3 linked regions of the Pelodiscus sinensis genome follow. The protein of the gene in region 2 interacts with the protein of the main gene of each other region in a pairwise test. Links are inferred from orthologs where the notes say so. Each region holds a gene or a part of one and is shown on either strand. Other genes may lie near its edges.

Region 1 (6,330 bases), on a different chromosome or scaffold from region 2:
CCCCTCCTTTCCCAGCTCCCTGCCAGCGAGAGCCAGGGGCTCCACGTAGCCAGGGCCCCAGGAAGTGTCTGGCACAGCAAGTGCCTAAACTTGGCTCTGCCTCCAGTAGCAGGCGCCCGTCTCCTCCTCTTGCAAAGAAGTGAGCCCAGAGGTCGCCGGGGAGTCCAGGGAGACGAAAGAAAACCCCGAGTCATCTACCCCTGCGAGAGAAACCAAGCGCACGCAAATCCCCCCCCCCACCCGCCAATAAATAAACAGGGGCCGCATCCCCTGAATCACCTTCCGCATCGTGCCGTAAAAACGTCAGAGATGCAACTGGTAGCGTCAGCACTGGACCTGGGAAAGAGCCATGCGGAGGAGGACGAGCCATGGCAATGCTGCCCGAAGCCAGCAAAGACAACCCCAGGGATGCCAAAAACCAGCTTCTGTCCATCGAAACAACTAGGAACCCAATACGCCTCTTTTTCGCCGCGTGATCCCCAAGCGCCCAATCCTGCCACGCAGCCCCCATGCCACTCTTGTGGGAGTTTTTCACAGGTGGGTGGGACGGGGACCCGGCATCTGGCCAGCTGATGGAGGGGCATACGGGAGACCTGTGCTCAGAGAGGAGTTTGTGCAAGCATGGAACAGCGGGGGTGTCTGGCAGACAGGGCTGAGGCCCCTTGCAAATCTGATGTCAGTGGCTTTCGTCTGGCATATTTGCTCTTCCCAATGTGCAGCTAGATGCCACTGGAATAGACCCCATGGGGAGCCACGTCTTGGCCCTTAGGTCAGGGCACTCACGGGCAGGGGCGGATGAGAGTGCTGTGGGGCCCCGGGCAGCGAAAATTCGCAGGGCCCCTCCTTTGACACGGCGCATGCACGGGGCCTCGGGAAGTGCGGGGTCCGGGGCAGCCACCCCGCTCATCCTGCCCTAAATCTGCCGCTGCTCACGGGCCTGCATCCAGCGGCATTAAAAGAGCCTATAGCCTCCGGATCCAGACAGTGTTTGCCTGCTTTGCTCCTCTGGTGCAGGGTGACTCTTTACACACCGGGTAAAACTCTTCAGTGTGGGAGACTGAGATCCTGAGGGGCTGGTCCCACCCAGTGGGACCCCCAGGAATAGGGACCGTTCCCAGGTGTGTCTCTGGTAGATCTCAGCTGAGCACATCGGCTGTGTCTACATAGGCAAGATTTTGCACAAAAGCGGCCGCCTGTCTACATCGGCGGGGAGTTCTTGCGCAAGAACACTGACGTTCTAATGTGTGAAATCAGGGCTTCTTGTGCAAGAACTATGACGCTCCTGCTTAGGAATAAGCCCTCTTGCACAACTGTTCTTGTGCAAGAGGCCAGTGTAGACAGACAACATGAATTTCTTGCACAAGAAAGCCCGATGGCTAAAATGGCAAAAGCACCTCTCTTGCGCAAAAGCACATGCCAGTGCAGACGCTCTCTTGCGCAAATACTTGAATGCAAAAACTCTTGTGTTAAAAGTATTTGCGCAAAATCTTGCCAATGTAGACGTAGGCAATAACTGGCCTGCGGGCTGCACGCGGTTCGCCTGGGTTAGCTCCCGGCAGGCCACCTCTGCTTTATTTACCTGTACCGCCATAGGTGTGGGCCCTGGAAGTTCCCATTGGCTCTGGATTACCATTCCCGGCCAATGGGAGCTGTAGGAAGCGGTGTCTTGGCCTGCACCACTTTGCACAGCTCCTATTGGCTGGGAACGGCGATCCACACCAACAGGAGCTGCAAGCAGCCATACCTGCAGAGGCACAGGTACATGAAGCGGCCGCCCACCAGGGCCTATCCCTGGCGAACTGCCTCCATGTTATTGTCCACCCCGTTCTAGTTGATGGCCGTCTTCGGGTTGGGAAGGGAGTACGTGGGGGAGTCTCTGGAACTTGGACATTTTAAAATCAAGATTTGAGGCCTTCAGAAACTCAGCCAGAGGTTCTGGGCCAATTGCCTGGGACTACGTCTACATGGGCACGATTTTGCGCAAATACTTTTAACGCAAGAGTTTTTGCATTCAAGTATTTGCGTAGGAGGGCGTCTACACTGGCATGTGCTTTTGTGCAAGAGAGGTGCTTTTGTGCAAAAGCATCTGTGCCAGTGTAGACGCTCTCTTGCGCAAGAAAGCTCCAATGGCCATTTTAGCCATCAGGCTTTCTTGTGCAAGAAATTCATGTTGCTTGTCTACACTGGCCTCTTGCACAAGAACAGTTGTGCAAGAGGCTTTTTCCTGAGCGGGAGCATCATAGTTCTTGCACAAGAAGCCCTGATTTCACACATTAGAACGTCAGTGTTCTTGTGCAAGAACTTGCGGCCAGCGTAGACAGGCAGCATGTTTTTGCGCAAAAGTGGGTGCTTCAGCGCGAAATCATGCCAGTGTAGACACAGCCAGAGTGTGTGTGGGGGGCAGAGGGGAGAGGTGCTTGGCTTGTGACATGCAGGTCAGACCCACATGCTCAGGATGGTCCCTTCTGGCTTTAAAGTCTATGAGACCATCCCAAACCTCACCTCCTCCCACTTCTGGTGCAAGGCCCGTGTCTTTGACCTGCCTTCTCATACATGTACCTACCTTGGGCCCGCCAGAAATCCAACCCCCCCCCCCCGCCCCACACCCACATCTGGCCCCGGGCGCAGGAGAGAACAAGCGGGTGAGAGATGTTGGCCAAGGGACCCCCTGAAAGGCGTCAGACGCCATGGTGATGAATGAACGTAGTGTCACCACCGACGGAGGCAGGTGACCTGCAAATAAAACCGGGTTCTAACACACAAGCGGGAGAGAGAAAAAGGATGGTCTCGGCCTAGCCTGGGAGGCAGGAGATGCCTGCCGTGTTCCCGGCCCTGCCAATTCTGAGCAAGCGCCTTAGCAGCTCAGTGCCTCGGTTTCCCCAGGTCAAGCGGGAGTAACGATCTTTGCTTCCTACAGTGTCATGGGGGGCAGGAGGCTGCATTGACAGAAATATCTGCTTGCTTGCACTGGAAAACAACCCCTCAGCTCTCCCTCCCCCCGCATCCCAAGCCACAAACGGGTGTATGGGAATGCCCGGGGGGGCGTCCCGCAGGTGCGAGGGGGAGGGGCGGAAATGGAGGGGCTAGAGGAGCGACCGGCCGGGGTTGCAGGTGACGGGGGGGAGGGGGCGGCTCCCTGTTTGCGGTCTCCATGGGCACCGCCCGCGAGGCGCCAGGCTGACAGCGCTGGGGGTTTTATGAATGGGTGACGTCACAGCCCTGGCGTCGGGCGGTCTGCGCAGCTTGGGCAGTCCCAGAAGCGGCCGGCCGAGGGGCGGGGGCTCCGGCGGCTGCTGTGGGAACCGCGGAGACGCCGAGAGGCTCCACAATGGGCGGCCCGGCAAAGCGCCCCCCCCTCCCCGGGGGGGGGGATTGCAAACGCGCCGGGGCAACGCGGCCCAGCTCAGGGGGCGCTGCAAATGTGCACCAGGAGCCCGCCAGCTGCTGCTTCCCCCCCCCCCCCGGCCTGGATCGCGACGGAGCGGGGAAGCGCACACGGGGGTCTCAGGGACGGTTTCCAGGGGGCCTCGCCGCGCCCGGCAGGCTGCCCCCGAGCAAGGGGAAGGGCCTGTTGTAATCGACGCATCCTTGCAATCAGTAACAGGCGCTGGGTGCGGGGCCGCTGCCCGTGGGATCGGGCCCCCCTCCCCCCCGCTGCTGGGAAGACCGGATCCCGGGCTCGCTTAGCGCTGAGCAAGCCCCTCCCCCCACGCTGCAGCGCTGTTGCATGGGCTGGGGTGTGCCTGTGTTCAGCCTCCCCCCTCCCCCGGGCTAGGTGTGGGGCAGCTGGATTTGCCAGCGGTGGGGAGAGGCATTTGCCAGCACGGTGGGGGGGGGCGGTGTCGGAAGGGTCATTAAGAAGCGATTCCAAGCGCTCGTCGCCTTCCTTTCATCCTCCCCCTTTCTCGGCCATATGCCCTCAAGCTGCCTCCACCTGCAAGCCGCCCCCCGCCCGGGAAACCCTCCCGCCCCGACCATTTGTCTCTGCGCGGCACTGTCCCTTTAAAAGAGTCTCCGAGCGTGCTCCAGGGGGCGGGGCGGAGGGGAAGCTGCGAGCCACGCCCCCTGGAGGATGGCGCCTCGGATTGGCTGCGGGGGGCGGGCGCTGGCCCCGCCCCGCAAGGCCCCGCACTCTATAAGTAGTCGGCGCGGCCGGCGGCGAGCGAGTGCTCCTCGCAGGGTCCTGCCGCCGACGGATCATCGACCCCCCCGCCCAGCCGAGCATGAAAGTCGCCAGCGCCGCCGCCGCCACCTCCCCCGGGCCCAGCTGCGCCCTGAAGCGGGTGCGGCTGGGCGGGGGCGCGGGCGAGGCCGCGCGGTGCCTGTCGGAGCAGAGCGTGTCGCTGTCGCGGGCCGGCGGCGGCTCCCCGCGGGGGCTGCCGCTGCTGGAGCAGGCGGAGCAGGCGGCGGCCGCGGCCTCGCTGCTGTACGACATGAAGGGCTGCTACTCGCGGCTGCAGGCGCTGGTGCCCACCCTGCCCCGCCACCGCCGCGTCTCCAAGGTGGAGATCCTGCAGCACGTCATCGACTACATCTGGGACCTGCAGCTGGAGCTGCAGCACCCGCCGGCCCGCGGCCAGCCCCTGGGGGGCGGCCCCGACGGGGAGCCCAGCGGCGCTGCGGAGGTGAGACGGCCGGACCCCCGCTCCCCAGTCCCGGCTGCCCTCCTTCCCCGCGCCTCTGCTGGGCCCCGGTGCCGCCCCCACCCGCTGCTCTGCAGCCCTTGATTCTGGGAGCCCAGCCGTGCTCTTCCCGCGGGGTGCTCAGGCCGGCCTGCCGTGAGCTTCCCCATAGCAGTGCCCGGGGAGGGAGATGCAGAACGTCCCTTGGTATACAGGCCCTTCCCGTGATCTGGCTGCCAGCGTTGGGGTGGCCCTGTGCAGCCAGCCCCCGCTCCGGCACAGGCTGACAGGGTGGGGAAGAGGGACTGAGAAGAGTCTCTGCCTAGATCTGTGGGGCTGGCCTTCTAAAAAGCCCATCTGGTTGTGGGAGGCTGGAGTGAAGCTAGCTGTTGTGCCTGCTGGCCTCTGAGATGGGGGGGGATCCTGCCATAAGGGCCAGGGGCTGCCCTGTCCCCAGACTGGTGATTTACCCTTTGCCTCCTCCATTCCAGGCTGCCTGCGTGAGCGACAGGATCCTCTGCCACTGAGCCCCTGCCTGGGAGCAGGGAGGACTCCTAGCATAGAGGAGCAGTAGCTTCCTCTGGCTCCATCCCGGGGCGCTCTGGCTAGCGCCCCCCTCCACTGGAGCAGGCCGAAGGGAGAGCCGTGGAGAGGCAATCAGCGAACGAGGGCTCCTGAGCGCGGGCCGGCTGGGATCCTGCCAGGAGGGCCAGGCCCAGTGTCTGCAACAGCCCTGGCGCTGCAGCTGCTGCTGTGACATCAAAGACTCTTGAGACTTTTCTGTACCAGAGACTGTAACTTTATGAAAGCCGAACCCGTATCCTTCTCAGATGGCTGAGGAGATCCCCTGTATTGTATATTACAATGATGCTACCGCGAATATTGTTCTACAATAGCTGGAGTTTTTGTTATTAAACAAATGCTGATTGTTGGTGGAGAGCTGGCTCCTTGTCACCCCTGGCTCCCCTCTGCCAGTCTGGGGGGTGCCTCTGCCCAGTGCTTGCTGTGGGGCTTTGCTGGACTTGGCTCTGTGACCGGAGCTGGTCACTTGTCAGGTGGGGGAGCAGCTGGCAGCTCAGTTGCTTCCACAAGGCCAGGCTGCCTACATGGGTGCTAGTCTGGAGGCATGTGAAGAAGCTGGTCCCAACAGGTTTGGGGGTCACCAGGCCTGGCTTAGACTTGCTGAGTCTGGCTACTCAGGGCTGCAGGCGAAGCCAGAGGGATTCTGCCATGTAGGTACCAGGCCCTTGGCCTTTGAGTCCTATCCCAGAGTGGTAGGGGTCAGGCTGTGTGGGCACCCCCCCCCATCTCCAGCAGTAGGGCTTGGGAGGGCTCTGCTCTTTCTCCAGGGGTGGTGATGGGGGAGGCACCCCTCTCTGGCCTCTGCCTCCACTCCCCTGGTGCCTGTTGAGCAGTGCAATGACTCCTGCAGTGAGGGGTGACTAGACTCCCACGGCTGCTGTAAGCCCTGGCCCAGCTGGCCAGTTTGGGGACCGTTCCAGCTGGGTTGGACAAATCCCTTGATCAGAGGTGTTCAAAGGTGCTCTTCCCCCATTCAACTCCAACCCAGTTTGGGAAGGGGGAGCTGGGGGAGGTGCTCAAACAGCTACCAGCAGTCAAAAGCTACATCTTGAACTTTTTAACCCCACCAGCTGGGCCATGAATTGCCTCCTGTCAGACAGGAGTTCTTGCTTTGGCCTCAATAAAT
Region 2 (7,778 bases):
GAAACCAGCAAAGTAAGTTCTGAGTTGAACTTGGGTTGTGTCTATTTCAAATATTTGTTATTCTTTTATGTCAAGAACAATGTTAGAGGTCTGACAAATACACACATACACAGTTGTACCCTTCCAAGCAGACACACCTAAACAGTTTTAAAAACTCATTTATAATTTAATTACCATCATTTTGTTTGTTTATTTCGGGATTCAAGGTTATTAAATTCCAGTTAATAATAACTGCAAAGACTTGTGCAAGTACCCTAGCCCTGTGGGGAATTTTTATCTGTGAAAAGTTAAGTCTTTTCAGGATTGGCCCCTTTAAAACGGAAGCAGAAATTAAAGACTCCTAAATTAGTAACCAAAATAATTAACATCAGCTAAAAAGCTAGAAATAAGTTATACTCTAAATCCCAAGCAATGCATTCTAAACAATATATTATGAACTCTGTAAAGGGATTCAAAGGGTTAGCTGTGTTAGTCTGTAACTTTAAAAACAATGAGTAGTCCTGTGGCATCTTAAAGACTAACCAAAATATATAGAACCATGAGATTTCATGAGCAAAACTCACTTCATCAGATGAACTGGAGTGGAAATAACAGAAACCAAGGGACATATATATATATATATATATATACGCACACACAGGCAGTCCCCGGGTTACGCACAAGATAGGGACTGTAGGTTTGTTCTTAAGTTGAATTTGTATGTAAGTTGGAACTGGTACATATTGTAGGGGAAACTCTAGCCAAACATTTCTCCAGAGCTCAGTTTTATTCTCCCACACCTCACTTCCCTCAGTCCTTTATTCTCAAGCTGAGGTGTCTGCTGAGAAAAGCCGCTCCGCGTCTCCCTGGTCTGCTGGGGGGAAGGAGCTAGTGCGGGGTTGCCTCACCCCATTTGTAAGTAGGGATCCGATGTAAGTCGGATCCATGTAACCCGGGGACTGCTTGTATAACAGAAAAAGTATCTGCTAATTAACCTATGTTAATGGGGCTAATTAAGTAGGTTGGATGCCCCATACATAGCCTTTAATGTGGAAATGTAGATGTTAAAGGCAGGAGAAATTGGCCCTGGATTTGTTTGGTGCTAACATTTTGTTCTAAGGGCCAAATTCTGCCAACTCTGTTCATCTCAGTAGTAATTTACTCCAGACACTGCACCACTGAAATGTCTGGGGGTACGTGCACAGCTAGGATACATCTACACTGAGGCACTATTTTAGGATACTAATACTAATCTGCATCTTGACAGCATGCCCATTATTTCAAAATAGCTTTTGAAATAACAGGCACACTATTCTGATGTCCCTGTAAACCTTGTTCCACGACAATTAAGGGACGTTTGAGAATAGTGATTTATTTCAAAATTTGGCGCTGTGTAGACTCGATATATACTCAAAATAAGCTACATAATTTGCATAGCTCAAAATGAGTAGATTATTTGAGCTAAGGGTGCAGTGTACACCTCCCCCCCCCCCCAGACAGTACTTAGTATGAGTGAACACAGGTGTCAGATTCTCTCCCTAACGTGTGTCTACACTCCACTGGAACTCGAAATAAGCTATGCAATTTGAGTTACGCAAATTGTGTATCCCATTTCAATGCTATTTCGAAACAGCTTACTTAGTCATTTGGTGCGGTCTACACAGTGCCAAATTTCAAAATAAAGCACTATTCGGAAACACCCCTTACTCCTTGTAGAAAGAGGTTTACAGGGAGGTTGATATAGCAAGCTTGAAAAAACGGGCTTGCCCTAAAGACGCAGGATAGCCAGTATCCTGAAATAGGTTGTAGACTTACCCTAAGTATTTTACTAACAGATGCTCTTAGGTGAACCGTAAGGTGGAGTGCAAATCTACATGCCACACACAACAGGCCATGTCAACCACCGCTGTTGCGCTATTACACTGAGGCGATAGCTTCAAATAGTTGCGAACTCACTCTCTTAAGGGGCGTCTGTACTAATGCAGTAAGCTTACTAGAGGAATCAATTTGGCCCTGAAATATAGGACTGCAATTAACCACTGCTAGGACACGTCTCCCACTCCAACAGGGGGCCTCCAGTGCCGCTCCAGCACTCCCCCACCCACGCACACAGCTGTTCCGTACGGTCTGGACGTGGCCCCCGGCTGGCCACGCTTGCAATAGCTCTGCCTGGGCTCGGCACACGCTGCCCGGCGCCAGCGGGCTCGGGGCACGGCAAGGCGCGCCCACCCCGGGAAGCTGGCGCCATGGGCAGGGTGAAAGGGTGAGTCTCTTCGCTCGCCTGCAAAGCTGCCCGCGCCCCGGGCGATCCCCACGACACGGGTTTCCTCTGCAGTTACGAGCAGCGCCACACGCGAGGGCTGCAACACGCTCCGGCCGCCGCGGGCCATACACCGCTGGAGAGGGCGGCGGCGCCCCCTGGCGGGCTAGCTGTGCCGTCGGGGACGCTTTTAGCTTTCCTGGTTGGCCGCTTATGGATGGTGAAACCCCCCCTGCCCGCTAGCCTGGTGGGACTCGGGGGAAGTTTCTAACCAAGCTCTCCCCGCGGAAGAGGCTTTCTGCGCCGGGCCCGGCAGGACCAAGGCTCCGCTGGGCAAGGCTCTGTCTCCACCTGCTGGCTCCTTCGCTGGCGTCTGGCTCCCCTCCTGGCTTTCTTCTGCCTCCCTCCTTCCCCGGACTTGGCGGGAGTGAGCCCAGGAGCTGGCGGCGAGGCAGCTTCCAGGAGCGAGCGGCGATGCTCCGACCCCAGGGCCCGAGCGGGAGCAGCAATCAACGCCCGGGACCGACGGCCCTTGCCCGCAGCGCCAGGCATTTCCCGTCCCTTCTCTCCCCCCGACAACACACTCCCCTCTTCTAGCTTTACACCTGGTTTTTCCGGGTGTTTCCGCTCCCGCGCTTGATCAGCCTGGAGAGGGTTTGGGAGCGAGGGGCACAGATCCTGGCAGTCTGATCAAAAGTCCGCGGGAGGGGAGGGGGGAGAAAAAGAGGGGACTGGATTAAACACTGGGAGGGAAGGAAAGGCGTGGTGGCCGCCGCCTCCTCTTTCTGCAAACAAGTCCACGTCCGAGAATTGCAGTGATCCGTAATGACAAGTTGCTGGTTAGACTCAGAATCCCACAAACCCCACGTAACGCCTTTCTGGGTCAAAAGGCTGCAGTGGGACACGAATCTAGAGCTAGTCTAATGTACGGCCATGAATCATACAGCCACCCTCTGGCGGTGGGGGAGAAGGTTAGCGATGGGCAAGGCCAGATGAATGCAGTTTGAAAGTACCACGCACTCTACCGCCTCCCTCTCCTCCCCACACAGACATTTCCTTTACTGAACGGTCCCCTCTCTCCAGTTTTCTCTTAAACAAGCTTTTATTCCTGGTCCCTATTCCCACAGCATTGCACACTGTAAAAAGCAAACCCGAGCCAGTAACGAACAAATCCATTGCATCTTCAGATGGAAGTCGAGGATCAATTGCAGTATCTCCTCTTTTCGAAATGGGGAAATGACAAGTGGGCAGCCACCAGGCTGGTCGGCACAGTGTCCAGGAAAAGGCGGATCTTTTACAAATCAAACTCAAAAGCATTATTATCTGGCCAGAGACATGGCAGAGCAGGGTCTGGCATAAGGTAAAAGGCATTATTATTACAACGGAGTCACGTCCGTTTAATGTGATGTGAAGGCTAGGTGGAAAGTTTTCGACCCATTCGATGTTTTCTGCTATCAGACCACAAATTAAGTCAATCAAAGAAAATTATTTAGAAGGAAAAACGCAGATAATATAGTAATCCTTTTTACCTCCAGACGGTTTCTCGGACTCCTTGAAATCAACGGAACCCGATTCCTAGATCCAAAATTACACAGAATTTTTTTTTTCATTTTTGAAAACGATTAGATGGGAAAATATTAGGTTCCTAGGAGAGAAACTAAAGGCTGGAGAGAGAAAGAGAGGGGGAGCATAGGTGTAATCCTAAAAACAGCATTCAGATCACTCGCACTTCCTGAAAAACAAATTACAAGAAAAAATATCAACCTGCAACGCGAAACTTTATTTCCATTTGAACGAAAAAAACGGTTATTCATATATTTAGAAGAGGGACAAAATTCACTTACAAGCAACACCGACTCAATACACCTACCACCATGAAAGATATATATTTAAATGTATGTATATTCCTGCCACTAAAGGAATTATCAATAAGTTGGTTCTCTTGTTTTATTGTCTTGTTTCTTAAACGCTGAACGGAATAGAACTTTTGCAAAGTTCAATACAAGAAATGAGAAATATATTTCTCTATCTCAGTAGTCAATGGTTTAACAGCAAAAATCTTTTGCGCTTAGCAAAGCCTCGGCAGGGAAGAGCCCAGATCACAAACTGAATATAAACCGTTTGTGTTTATTTTCTTTTCAGTATTATTAATGTAGAAGCCTTTACATGAAAAAAACCAATAATAACCTACAATCTTTGCATAAATACGTAAGCCCCTAAATACCATTAGAACAAGGGTGAGAACAGGAGCGCTCATGCAGAAAAGAGTTAAAATAAAGATGATCCCACTGTGACGCTTATTTTCTGGCTGCAGTTTGACATTTGCAGAAAGTTTCCTACAACTTTTGCCTGACAAGGGCTCCAGCTGCCCTCCAATCAGACGCGCCCCCCTCCCTGCCCACCCCGTCCAAGACCCCAGCCACTGCCTCCTTGGGACTAAGGGATTGGCCGGCAGGTGAAAGGGAGCTCGTCCTGTAAGAATCCCCACCCTCCCTCGAGCAAGGCTGCGGGATAAATAAGAGTCACAAATTGTGCTATCCGGATGGGCACCAGGGGAGGGTAATTCAGTGCCATGCCAAGGCTGAGCTGAACTGGGGAAGGGAGACAATCACCAGCCAAAGCTGAAGAACTCTTGTGCCCAAGCCTAGGAAAGCGTCTCTCTCCGAATTAACTGGAGGCCGTTGCGTGAGAGCGGCTCTGTTAAAACTCGGGGGGGACATTCAACTACATTCATCTGGCGGCTGGGAAATAATCTCCCCGGTTCAAGCTCGGCTGGGTTCCCCGGACGCTCTGCCCCTGCCCGCCCCGCCCCTCGGCTGCCCCCATGGACTTGCTAGGCCCCATGGAGATAACGGATGGCTCCCTCTGCTCCTTCTCGGCTGCCGACGACTTCTACGATGACCCCTGCTTCAACACCTCGGACATGCACTTCTTCGAGGACCTGGACCCGCGGCTGGTGCACGTGGGCGGCCTGCTGAAGCCGGAGGAGCACCCCCACCACCACGCGCACCACCACGAGGACGAGCACATCCGGGCGCCCAGCGGACACCACCAGGCCGGCCGCTGCCTGCTGTGGGCTTGCAAAGCCTGCAAGCGGAAGACCACCAACGCCGACCGCCGCAAGGCGGCCACCATGCGCGAGCGGCGGCGCCTGAGCAAGGTGAACGAGGCGTTCGAGACGCTCAAGCGCTGCACCTCCACCAACCCCAACCAGCGCCTGCCCAAGGTGGAGATCCTGCGCAACGCCATCCGCTACATCGAGAGCCTGCAGGCGCTGCTGCGGGAGCAGGAGGACAGCTACTACCCGGGCCTGGAGCACTACAGCGGCGAGTCGGACGCCTCCAGCCCCCGCTCCAACTGCTCCGACGGCATGGTGAGTGCTGGGGCGGGGAGGCGGCGATGCCCCCAGATCCCTGGGCGCGGAGGCGTCCAGGACCTGCGGGCCCTGAGATGGGAAAGGAGCCCCCCCCCCCCAGAGCCGGCCCCCTAGGAAAGAAACGGGAGTCCCCACGTGTACCCGGACTCTGGGATGGGAGATGTGACCTCCCTCCTGTACCCTGATCCGGGGGGGGGGGGGGGGGGCTCCGATGTACCCTGGTCCCTTGGAGGGGAGATGTGGGGGCGCCTCTGGGCGGGGAGTCCGTCTTCCAACCCTCCCCTCCGCCCCCCGTGAGCAAAGTGTCGGATGGGTTCTCTGGGAGAGGAGAGCCAGGGACCCCCCATTCTCCTGTGCCTGTTGCTCTTATCTCTGACCCCTGCAGAGACAGACCTGGGGCGAGTAGCTAGGATCTGCTGTGCCATAAACAAACGTGGGATTCATAGGAGGGTTGGTGAGAGACAGGGCTGTTTTGTGGCCTCAGTCACAGTGGGTGCTAGCACACTTAGATATCAGCAAGGAGATCTGGGGTCCTTATGAGTTACCCCTCTGCGGACATAGGGGCACTGAGGTTCCTGATCACCTGGGAGTGCAGGGCTGGAGATGTCTGTCTTGGGTTCCATGTTCTCTGACCCTTATAAGGGGAACTGGAGGGCAGGGAAGCTCCTGAGCCAGGTGCAGTGACACGGGGGGAATCTCATCATCTCATTGTACAACTATGGTTGGCCCTGGCCTCCTCTCCTACATCCTAACGCAGAATACCTCTGAGTTGGGAATCACAATAAAATGTTTAGACACATTGGGACAGAGGGCAGTTCTCAGAAGGGGCTGGTCCTTTCTGTAACTGAATATTTGAAGGAAGGGATTTATGTACAGAATCCCTCCTCAAAATACAAAATTCTCTTTTTGTGGTAGGATCCCTATCGTTATGTGTGTGTGAAAAGTACCAAAGGTGAAAATAAACCATTCCAGGCAGGATGTTTTCCATATGAAATGACAATGGAAATAAATTACTGGTGGGGGAAAACCTTTAAAATATTATGAGTTAGGTTCTTTCCCCACCATCTCTCTTAAATCAAGGACCAAATGTTCTGTACCATAATTCAAAGATACAGAGCAATCCCTCATTACAATGTTTTGAATGTTTCTTCCATGAGTACAGATATGGCAAAAATCCTTGCAATAATATAAAATATTCTGGATTTAGTATCTTCCCAGAAATGTTGTTTTCCCTGATTCAGGGAAGCTGAAAATTCACCAGGAACTGGGGCTAGGGCACAGACCAAAGACTGAAATATGAACTGAGATGTGAAAATTCTGCTTCTGAACTGGTGACATGCTGCATCCATTGTTTTCTGGTTTCAGTTAGAGTACAGTGGACCCTCTTGCAGCTCTCGCAGGAGGAATAGCTATGACAGCAGCTACTACACAGAATCACCAAATGGTGAGTATTTGTCTTAATGCCCAAGACAAGTGTATGAAGGTAGAAACTCTCAGTAAACTTTGCCTGCTCTTTCTGTCACTTATGCTCAGCAAACTCCAGAAGGAAAAACTCCCCAGCAAGCTGTGGGCAATGACACAGGACACCTCCCCCCCCCCCAACTGTTTCCGTATGATTCTGTTTGCAGATGTGGGGAAATCCTGCACATGCATTTCCTGTAATAATTATAAATCCTACACTATGCTTTGGCATGAATATTTATCCCTGAAAATGCTTCAGATTTTAAATTGCTTTGCAACAGAGACTGGCCCACCCAAAATCTTATCCAAACTTTGGAGAAGTTCTCATTTGACTCCAGAGCAGCCAACCCCCTTTCTTTAGCGAACCAAAACCCTGGCTCCAAATTCCTTCAGGCAGGTAGTAGTTCACATCCAAACTTTGAGGCATGGGCCCTTCTCTAACTTTTCAAGTTCAAATATTATCTCTGCTTTTTTAGTGATTGGCATCTCTCAATAATATATATTTGGTATATATTTCCATTGAATCTTTATCTGCTCAGAGCCATGCAAGGCTGGTGCTCTGGAAGAACTACCTCCCCTTAGCATTAATTACGCATTGGGTTCATTGCTTTTTTTCCCCCCTCTTTCCTTAGATCCAAAACATGGAAAGAGTTCAGTTGTCTCCAGCCTGGACTGTCTATCAAGCATTGTGGAGAGGATTTC
Region 3 (7,983 bases), on a different chromosome or scaffold from region 2:
AGTACGAGGGCATATATGCAAGAAATACCAAATCACATTTTGCTTTTAAAAATGTTAAGTCTCATTATCAGCTTAATTTCTTTCTGACTGAATTAAAGCTTGGAGCAGCCAAAATTTAATCAGTAACAGCAGTGATTTAGTTCAGTTCTCAATATCTTAGTCATATGGAGAAGCTGCTGCAACTGATTAGAAAACCCATTTCATTGAGCTATTGCATGGAAGCATGTACATTCCAGTGTGGAAAGGCAACAGTCACTTCATTATTCCAAATCACATGTTAACGCATCAGCAACTTTTGCATTCAAAGCCTTTTGCAGGAATTAAGTGGTTGGGAGACTAATAGCCACCCGCAACCCTTAATTCTGTGTAATTATTCAACGAGCAAGTTACCAGATCTTGGGCAGCACTATGGGAGAACTGAAAGTGAGTCATCAACTAAACTAGAGGGTGGGGGAAAAAAAATCAAACACCAAGGGTATCTCTTGTGACTAACAACTTTTGTGTATGTTTCCAAACCGTTCTTCAATAGCATCCTCTCTGTCATAATCCACAACTCTGGCAATTCCTTACACACTGTCCATAAGGTGTTCAGCTGAAAGTTGGAACATACATTTAAATAAGTCAAATTACAAGAATTAAAACTAGTAACTTAATAATAATGTTATTTATGTTCTACACATACTTGAACTGTTACATTGTAAAATCACAGTATCCCATACCCAGTAAACTGTTGGTCCCCAAGAATAAGGCAGGCACTCAGTTCAATAAACACACTTGATTTATTTTGTATAAAAAAGGGTTAAGTTTACAACTAAACTTTTATAAAAAGTTTAGCATGATTAAGTACATCATTACACTTTTTTTGCAGAAATGTACATTTCTGCCACTATACAAGAAAACTCTAATTAAAGAGTTCACAAGGTTTCACTCATACACATATATATATATATATATATACATACATATACATATACATATATATATATATATATATATATTCATATATAAATATATACACAGCATTCAATCCTAGGCTTGCATCAGAAGGTCATTTCTGACCATGGACTTCCCTAAGAAACTGAACACTGGGTCCTTCTGATACTCACGCTCCACCTTTGGAAAAAAGGCAAAGTCTGCTTTAAAATGGGCAATTCCTTGTGAGTTTTTGTTTCACTCCCCAGGCTGGGAATAGTATATAAAGGGCACCTTCCGACTAGGGAAAGGGCATTTAAAAGTCTCTTCATAAATAGCTAAGATCAGTCCAAGTTGAAGGGGAGGGAGACAATCTCAAGTTTCTTCTTTATTAGTTTTAAAAGGTCCATTCCATTAATTATAGATTCCCCCTCCAGATAAAGCTGAAAAATAAGTTCAGCACCTCAAAAAAGAAAAAAAAATCCTGCAGACATTTTCTTGTGGGGGAAAAGTCAGCAAACACCTGCAAAAGATTGAAAAAGGAGAATTTAGGAGAATGCTAACAGGGCAGAGATCCGGACAGACTGGCGCCAGAGAGGAAGCCACAGTTTGAACATTTAACCAAACACTCAAAGATTGGGCAAACCCTGGCGTCCAGATGCAAAACACACACACACAAAAACCCCCTCAAAAGCACAAATTAAACATTAAAATAACATACATTCAAGCAGGAGGGGGAGAAAGAGGATTCTCAGTCCAATCTCTATTTGGATCTCTGTAACTGCACTGCTCAGAGGCGCCAGTCTGCCTCTTACAGCAATTATTTGATTAAAAGCAGACACTTACTTAACTGATAGTGCAGACAATTCCACATGACAAAACTTAATGGATTATGCTAAAATCCTCAACTAAATCAGTCATTTCATATGAAGGTTAGGATTTTAGAAACAGAATTTACATTATGTGGTAAAATGTAAGTACAAAGAAATAGTCTCAGAGCAAACAGTCTATACTACTTATTAGCAAAGGCAAAAATACTCTTTCATTTGGGCTACCCCCAAATGAATTACTAGTGCAATTTTTATGGCTTAAATACTGGTTATAAAGGCATCCTCCAATAAACCTATTTGTATTATTCACTATGTCTTAAATCCAAGCCCATACACACATTTTAATCCCCAAAAATGAAAGTCCTTTAACCCCCCAAATGAATTGTATTTCACATTACATTTATTTTTTTAAAAAAAACCAAGCATGAAACACTCACCAGTGAATTTAGCCACAAAGTGCTTTGCTATCATTTGACATTAATTCTGAAGGGAATTCAGATGCCTGCAAAGAAGAAAAAATAAAACAGCACAGTGTTAAATACCTTACCAGCACAATAAAAAAATACAAAATACTCTGGATCATGAAGTTCATTCCATATACCATGCCATGATTTAGTTTCACAATGACAACCAGCATCACTAGGGCTGTCTAGGAATTGGGACATTTCCATCTATTTCAATCTAAAATTATTAAGTATTAGGGTTTTTTTTAAAGTAACCATTTCTCATGCCAGTCACTCCCTGTCATAAAAGCTACAGCTCTCTAATACTGACTCCCTAACAACAACGTCCACTGTCATTATTAAGCCAAACTCAGTCACTGTATATAGGCCAAGAAACAGGAGGGAGAAAAGTCAGCCAGGGTTAAGGAGACAAGGTAGGTGAGGTAATATCTTTTATTGGACCAACTTCTGTTGCTTAGAGATACAAGCTTTAAAGCTTATGCAGAGCTTTTCTTCAGGACAACACAACTACAATAACACTGTGTACACTTACCTGTAATGACAAGATGCTGATGTCTGTGTTTAAGGTGGTCAGAGGAGTTCTGGAGGAAGGATTTGGTCCTGGTCTCTGGTGATGGAAGCTGACAATACTGGGGTGAGAGTCTAAAGCGATCTGCAGGTCCAGGATGTAGTCAATAACATGCTGCAGGATTTCCATCTTGCTCACTTTCTTGTTCTGAGGGATACTGGGCACTAGCTCTTTCAGTTTGGAGTAGCAGTCATTCATGTTGTATAGCAAACTCATAGGATCATCCACGGGGGTTTTGCTCCGGGATATTCCCAGGGTGTGTTCAGAGAGGCTGTTTTTCCTGACGGATCTCACAGGACTGAAAGCTTTCATGCTGGAAGAGAGCCTGATTTCCAGGGCACAGAAAACACACACTAAGGGATCACTCTGCCTGCTTGACTGCCTCACTTCCTTTTCTTTCTCTAAGCAGCTGCCTGAGCTCAGACTGAAGCAGCAAGCTGCCTCTACTTGCTTTTATAGTGCAGGCTCAGCAGCTGCCAAACCTAGCCAGTGCTTACTGCCATTGGAGGCACCCAATGTGTCCATCAGACTGTGAGACATTCTCACTGGTACAAATGAAACCTAAAAGAAGGTTCAGGCCTTCCGCACTCTGAGCCAATCGTAGGGAAGGGGGCGTGGCTGTTCTAAGCACAGCTGAGGATAGTAAATACTGTACAGTAACTGCTGAGCCTCCTGACTCATTTTACAAAGGCACTGAGAAAGGAATGAAATGGGCATTATGCATTGTGGTTGCAAAGAGCCTGGTCGGATCACAGAGGATTCAGATCTCTTTGGTGCAAACAGACACTCCCCATATATTTTCTTTTCTATTTTAAAGAGCTAGCTTGCTAAAGTTGGAATGAAACATGTAGCAAATTTAGGATACGAAACTGAACTAGGCTTTGGGAGACATAAGCACATTATGAACATTTATATGTGTGGGGCTTGAGGGAGTCATACACTGATGACTATAAATACACCATAAGCAGATAGTCTCTATTGTAACATTGTGTCATTGAAGCCTGATACTTCCTGAAAGTTAAACTGAATTATAGTAACAAACCATTCTTTTAAATTATGGTTGTCTACATCAGCAGTCAGCTTCACTAATAAGTACTGTAAACTAAAACATTGCAGGAAGGGTATGCATAAAAAAGTCAAGTAAAGAAACAAAATCAACAGGAACTTTTTCCTGTAATGACAAAATACTCAGCTATAAAACTCACGCTCAGGGCTTTTAAAGACTGAGAAGACACTATTAGCTTGCTGTCAAATTTGCTATTAATTGGAGACAGGCAAATGTTGAAAATACCTTTGCACATATTACCTCTGAAAGGCTGCTGACCTAATCCACCAGTGCATGACATTACTGTAATTAATTCTGCATGGATTGATTTTAGTGACAAATGTGTGTATTTACTGTACTGTTGCATCTTTGCTTAGCACCAGTAAAATGCATCTTCCAGAAATACTACAAACAGGAATTATCTTGAGAGAAATCATCTTTGAAATTTTCCTTTTGCCCAATTGCAGTTTGCTCATTTTGTGTGCACTCAACTGCCAGATTCAGAACTAATTCCCAAGATTTTTCATACTACTCAAGGAAGGCTAAAGTTATGAAATCGTAAACTATCTATGGAAATTATTTTATTATTTAAAATATTTTTACCCCACCTCGCTATTTAAAATATTTGAGACGGCTTACAATTTTTTAAAAAATGCAATAAATATACATAAAGTAAAATATAAAACTCCAAAGAGGGTGAGGACATAAAAACCTGCTAAAATAGAGACACTGAAGAGGGACACTAACACAAACACAACTGAATACCACCAATACAAGCACGGGTAAAAAGGGTGGCTTTGACCTGGCATTATTTATGTATTTAAAATATTACTACATACTATAAAATGATTGTACAGTAACTTATTACATTTTCCAATACATATAGTTCTGTATTGCATAAAACCCACTTACATTAGATGGATAGATGTAAAGTCACTGTGGGAATTTAAGAACTGTATTAAAGAAGACACACAAGTCTTTGATTTATCCAGGTTGTTGGTTCCTTGTTGCCAACCTTCATCTTACTCCGAGGGGGGAGGACAGACATTATTGGCAACTGGAAGCAGAGCTCTATAGGGATCAATCAATATTTTCCTCCAATTAATGTTGCATTCCTTAGCTAGTATTTGGGGAGGTCTCTGACAGGACATTTTGCTGACTGCAACACAAGCTTATTTGCTTCAGGGCTTTTATCTAGGGGGTGTAGGCGGTGCTGAGCCTGACAAGAACACAATTCAATGATTTTGAAATGTGAAGGGTGAAAGTGAATCTCTCCATTCAATCTTACAGGAAGACAAGTACATTGTTTAAATACAATTAAAAGGCACAGTAAATAAAAAAATGTGTGGCAAATCAACAGCTTAATTAAAACAAATACTGACTGCAACTCCAATCCTCAGGAAATGCTAAATTGACAAAACCTCATTTATATTAAATCTGGTGATTTACTATCACAGGTTTTACCCTACGGACTTGCTTGTATTTCTGTTCCACATGTGCTCCAGTGGAACAGACTTTGTTTTGACACTATTATTGTTACAACAATAGCCAATATAAACATATCTTCATGTTTCTCTCATTATCTGCCATCCCTGGATAATGAGACAATGTTACAGAAACGTTCTCCTAGGCTTTTACAAAGAACTTGTTCATTCATAGGTGATTTTGTACTTTTATATTGAGTACTGAAGGCATTCTGGTTTTTTGTACTTGTTTTATAGAGTAGAATTATATATTAAGAGGGGCTAAGTAGATCACCATGATCACTATGCCTACTTTCTGGGTGAAAAGTGTTTTCACTTCTGTTGGGTAAAGGATTGACTCTTGATTTATGTTTACACACCCTGGTATTATGAATTGGTCTTAAGGCCTGTTTTCAAAGTTTCACTCTTTAAAGATTTTACAATTGACAGACTACCAATTTGGGAGTCAGGGGAGGGAATAACTCCTTTCTAATCCGTACAGTCGTGGAATAACTTTGGGTTTTATTGTCACACTGGGCGAAAGGGGACGGGATTTTATGTAGGGAATCTCAGAAAAGAGTACGCCGGACCTTGGAACGCCTGTAGCAACCTCCCTACGGATCTTAGAAAACTTTGCAAGCAAGGACTAAATGACATTACACCTGTGACTCCCTTAAAATGGCAGTCCTGTTTCTCTACCCCCAACCTCAAAACACTGCTGCTGCTAACATCTGGAAGGAAAATATGCGAGTTCCTGTCAGACAAAGCAGGGCTCGTCTGCTGATCTCTCTCCCGCTCCCCAGTCCCGTCCCCCCCCCCACAACGCTGCAGTGGTGACAAGGGTGCCCCCTTCCATAGGGCATGACCCCCCCGTCACTCCCACAGGGACCGCTCTTCTCTGGAGCACTGAGAGCCGACTCCCTGTGGTGAGCGGAGCTAGTGAGCCCCCCCCCCTCCCGCCTCTGCGGTGGGGAGAGGCGTGGAGCCCCCGCCGTGGCGCACCGGGACTGGGATCCCCGTAATGAGCCGGAGTGGGGCGCACGGGGGGATTCCCAGGCTCTCCCCAGCCGGGGCTCCGCCCCCACAGCTCCAGCCCCCGGGGCCGGGCCGGACCGCGCGGCGCCAGCCCCGTGACATCACCCCTCGCCTCCCTCCCTCCTTCCCCGGCCGGGCCCGGCGGCGCCGCTCAGGCGGCTGCCATGGAGACCGGGGCTGAGCCCTGGGCTGTGGGAAGCGGCGGGGCCCGGCCTGGCCGCCCCCGCCAGGGCGCACCTGCAGCCGGGGCCCCGCGCACGGCCCCGCTCCCCTCCCTCCTCCGGGCCGCCGAGCAGGGGCCCTGGGCGCGGCGCCAGCTCCCGCGCGGGCTCGTTCTGGGCCAGGCAGCTCCGCAGCTTGTCCGGCGGCAGCCTCACCCGGCCGCGGGGTGCCCCCCTTGTCAGCCCTACGCCCGTGAAAGCACGGCCAGGGGCCGCTGCTAAGAGCGGGAAAGGGCAGCGAGGCTGCGCCCTTTGGAAAGGTCTCGACCCTGCTGGCTCACCCAGCCCAGTGCGGTGGCTTTCTAGGAACCGGCCTCTGGCTTACATAAGCGGTGGGGCCTCCTGGGTTTGACCCTCACACGAAGTCCTGGGGAAATTGAGTTCTTCCTCCGAAGCAGAGCCGTCTGGCGGCACTTGGCTATCAGCCATGTATTTACCTCATCATTAGGGATCTTAAAAGTTTTCATCCCCCAACGCCGTGTAGTTGTTATAAAATGTATTTATACAAACCAACTAGAAATTCTACACAAGCCTTTAACTGCCATGTATTTACTCTATTAGACTTTATTAATATCTGTCTGGTATCCTGAGCCTTCACCTTATTGCTACAATTCAGCAAACTAAAATATGTTGGCTAAACAGAGGTTTGCAATGGACCTGGTGGAATCTCCCTCTAAGCTCAATTGCTTTCAATGGCCTGATCGTTTTTATTTGGCTCATGTTTCAGCTCCATTCAAATAATGCAGTTCTAGACTTTTTTGGGTGGGGGGAGACGAGAAATAGAGGGACAGCCTGCATGCAAAATATTTAGTTACAAATTCTGTGAAGTGCACTGATCTGTAACAATGTTTTCTGCTTTTACAAAGGATTTTCCTGTTATTTTGTTCCGGTCAAAAAATTAAAAAAAAAGAAAAAAAGAAACTTGGGAGAGATAAGGTCTGGAAAACAATCTGGATTTGCCAGTCTGTTGGTGGGAGCTCTGCAGGGCTGGCGTCAGGAAGTCTGCGCCGCCTTCTATTACTGTTGATCCAGCTTTGTGCAGCTGCACTTAGTACAATTAGCTTGTAGAAACAATCCTGCTGTAGGCAGCCTCTTTCCTTCAAAGTGCTTTTCTATACTGATCCCTTCACATCATGATGTTGGAAATCAAGTCACAAGCTGACCACTGTTTGGCCAACATCATCTGTGGGAATTCATTAACCTCCATCTCAGAAATGCAACAAGAGATTGTTTGTCTAGAACTAAACTTACATCTTAATATTATGATGTAGCTCATACAGGAAAAAACCTGTGTCCCATTTTTGTCTTTTTTGGTCATAACAAGAAACACATTGTGCTTAGAGAGTGGGGAATGTAGCTGAACCAAGCATGAGCCGGCTCCTGCTAAAACTTTGCCATGAAAGTGATTGTTTTTTGGTTAATCAGGCTGCAGTTTCCATAGAAGC

What was found. The genes of interacting proteins can lie anywhere in the genome.
Region 1: the proteins of MYOD1 (region 2) and ID1 interact in a two-hybrid assay, tested with the Homo sapiens proteins (5 studies listed by BioGRID). The link is inferred for Pelodiscus sinensis from reciprocal best matches to the Homo sapiens genes MYOD1 and ID1.
Region 3: the proteins of MYOD1 (region 2) and ID2 interact in a two-hybrid assay, tested with the Homo sapiens proteins (2 studies listed by BioGRID). The link is inferred for Pelodiscus sinensis from reciprocal best matches to the Homo sapiens genes MYOD1 and ID2.

The regions. Positions count from the first base shown.
Region 1 is NC_134728.1:1,841,204-1,847,533, reverse strand, and holds ID1 (DNA-binding protein inhibitor ID-1), read left to right. Parts: upstream 1-4,043; 5' UTR 4,044-4,223; coding exon 4,224-4,625; intron 4,626-5,113; coding exon 5,114-5,149; 3' UTR 5,150-5,553; downstream 5,554-6,330. UniProt on the Homo sapiens protein: Transcriptional regulator (lacking a basic DNA binding domain) which negatively regulates the basic helix-loop-helix (bHLH) transcription factors by forming heterodimers and inhibiting their DNA binding and transcriptional activity.
Region 2 is NC_134714.1:112,691,276-112,699,053, forward strand, and holds the start of MYOD1 (myoblast determination protein 1), read left to right. Parts: upstream 1-4,731; 5' UTR 4,732-5,063; coding exon 5,064-5,612; intron 5,613-6,980; coding exon 6,981-7,059; intron 7,060-7,708; coding exon 7,709-7,778. UniProt on the Homo sapiens protein: Acts as a transcriptional activator that promotes transcription of muscle-specific target genes and plays a role in muscle differentiation. Together with MYF5 and MYOG, co-occupies muscle-specific gene promoter core region during myogenesis.
Region 3 is NC_134713.1:28,837,549-28,845,531, forward strand, and holds ID2 (DNA-binding protein inhibitor ID-2), read right to left. Parts: upstream 3,278-7,983; 5' UTR 3,087-3,277; coding exon 2,739-3,086; intron 2,245-2,738; coding exon 2,188-2,244; 3' UTR 2,180-2,187; intron 1,436-2,179; 3' UTR 761-1,435; downstream 1-760. UniProt on the Homo sapiens protein: Transcriptional regulator (lacking a basic DNA binding domain) which negatively regulates the basic helix-loop-helix (bHLH) transcription factors by forming heterodimers and inhibiting their DNA binding and transcriptional activity.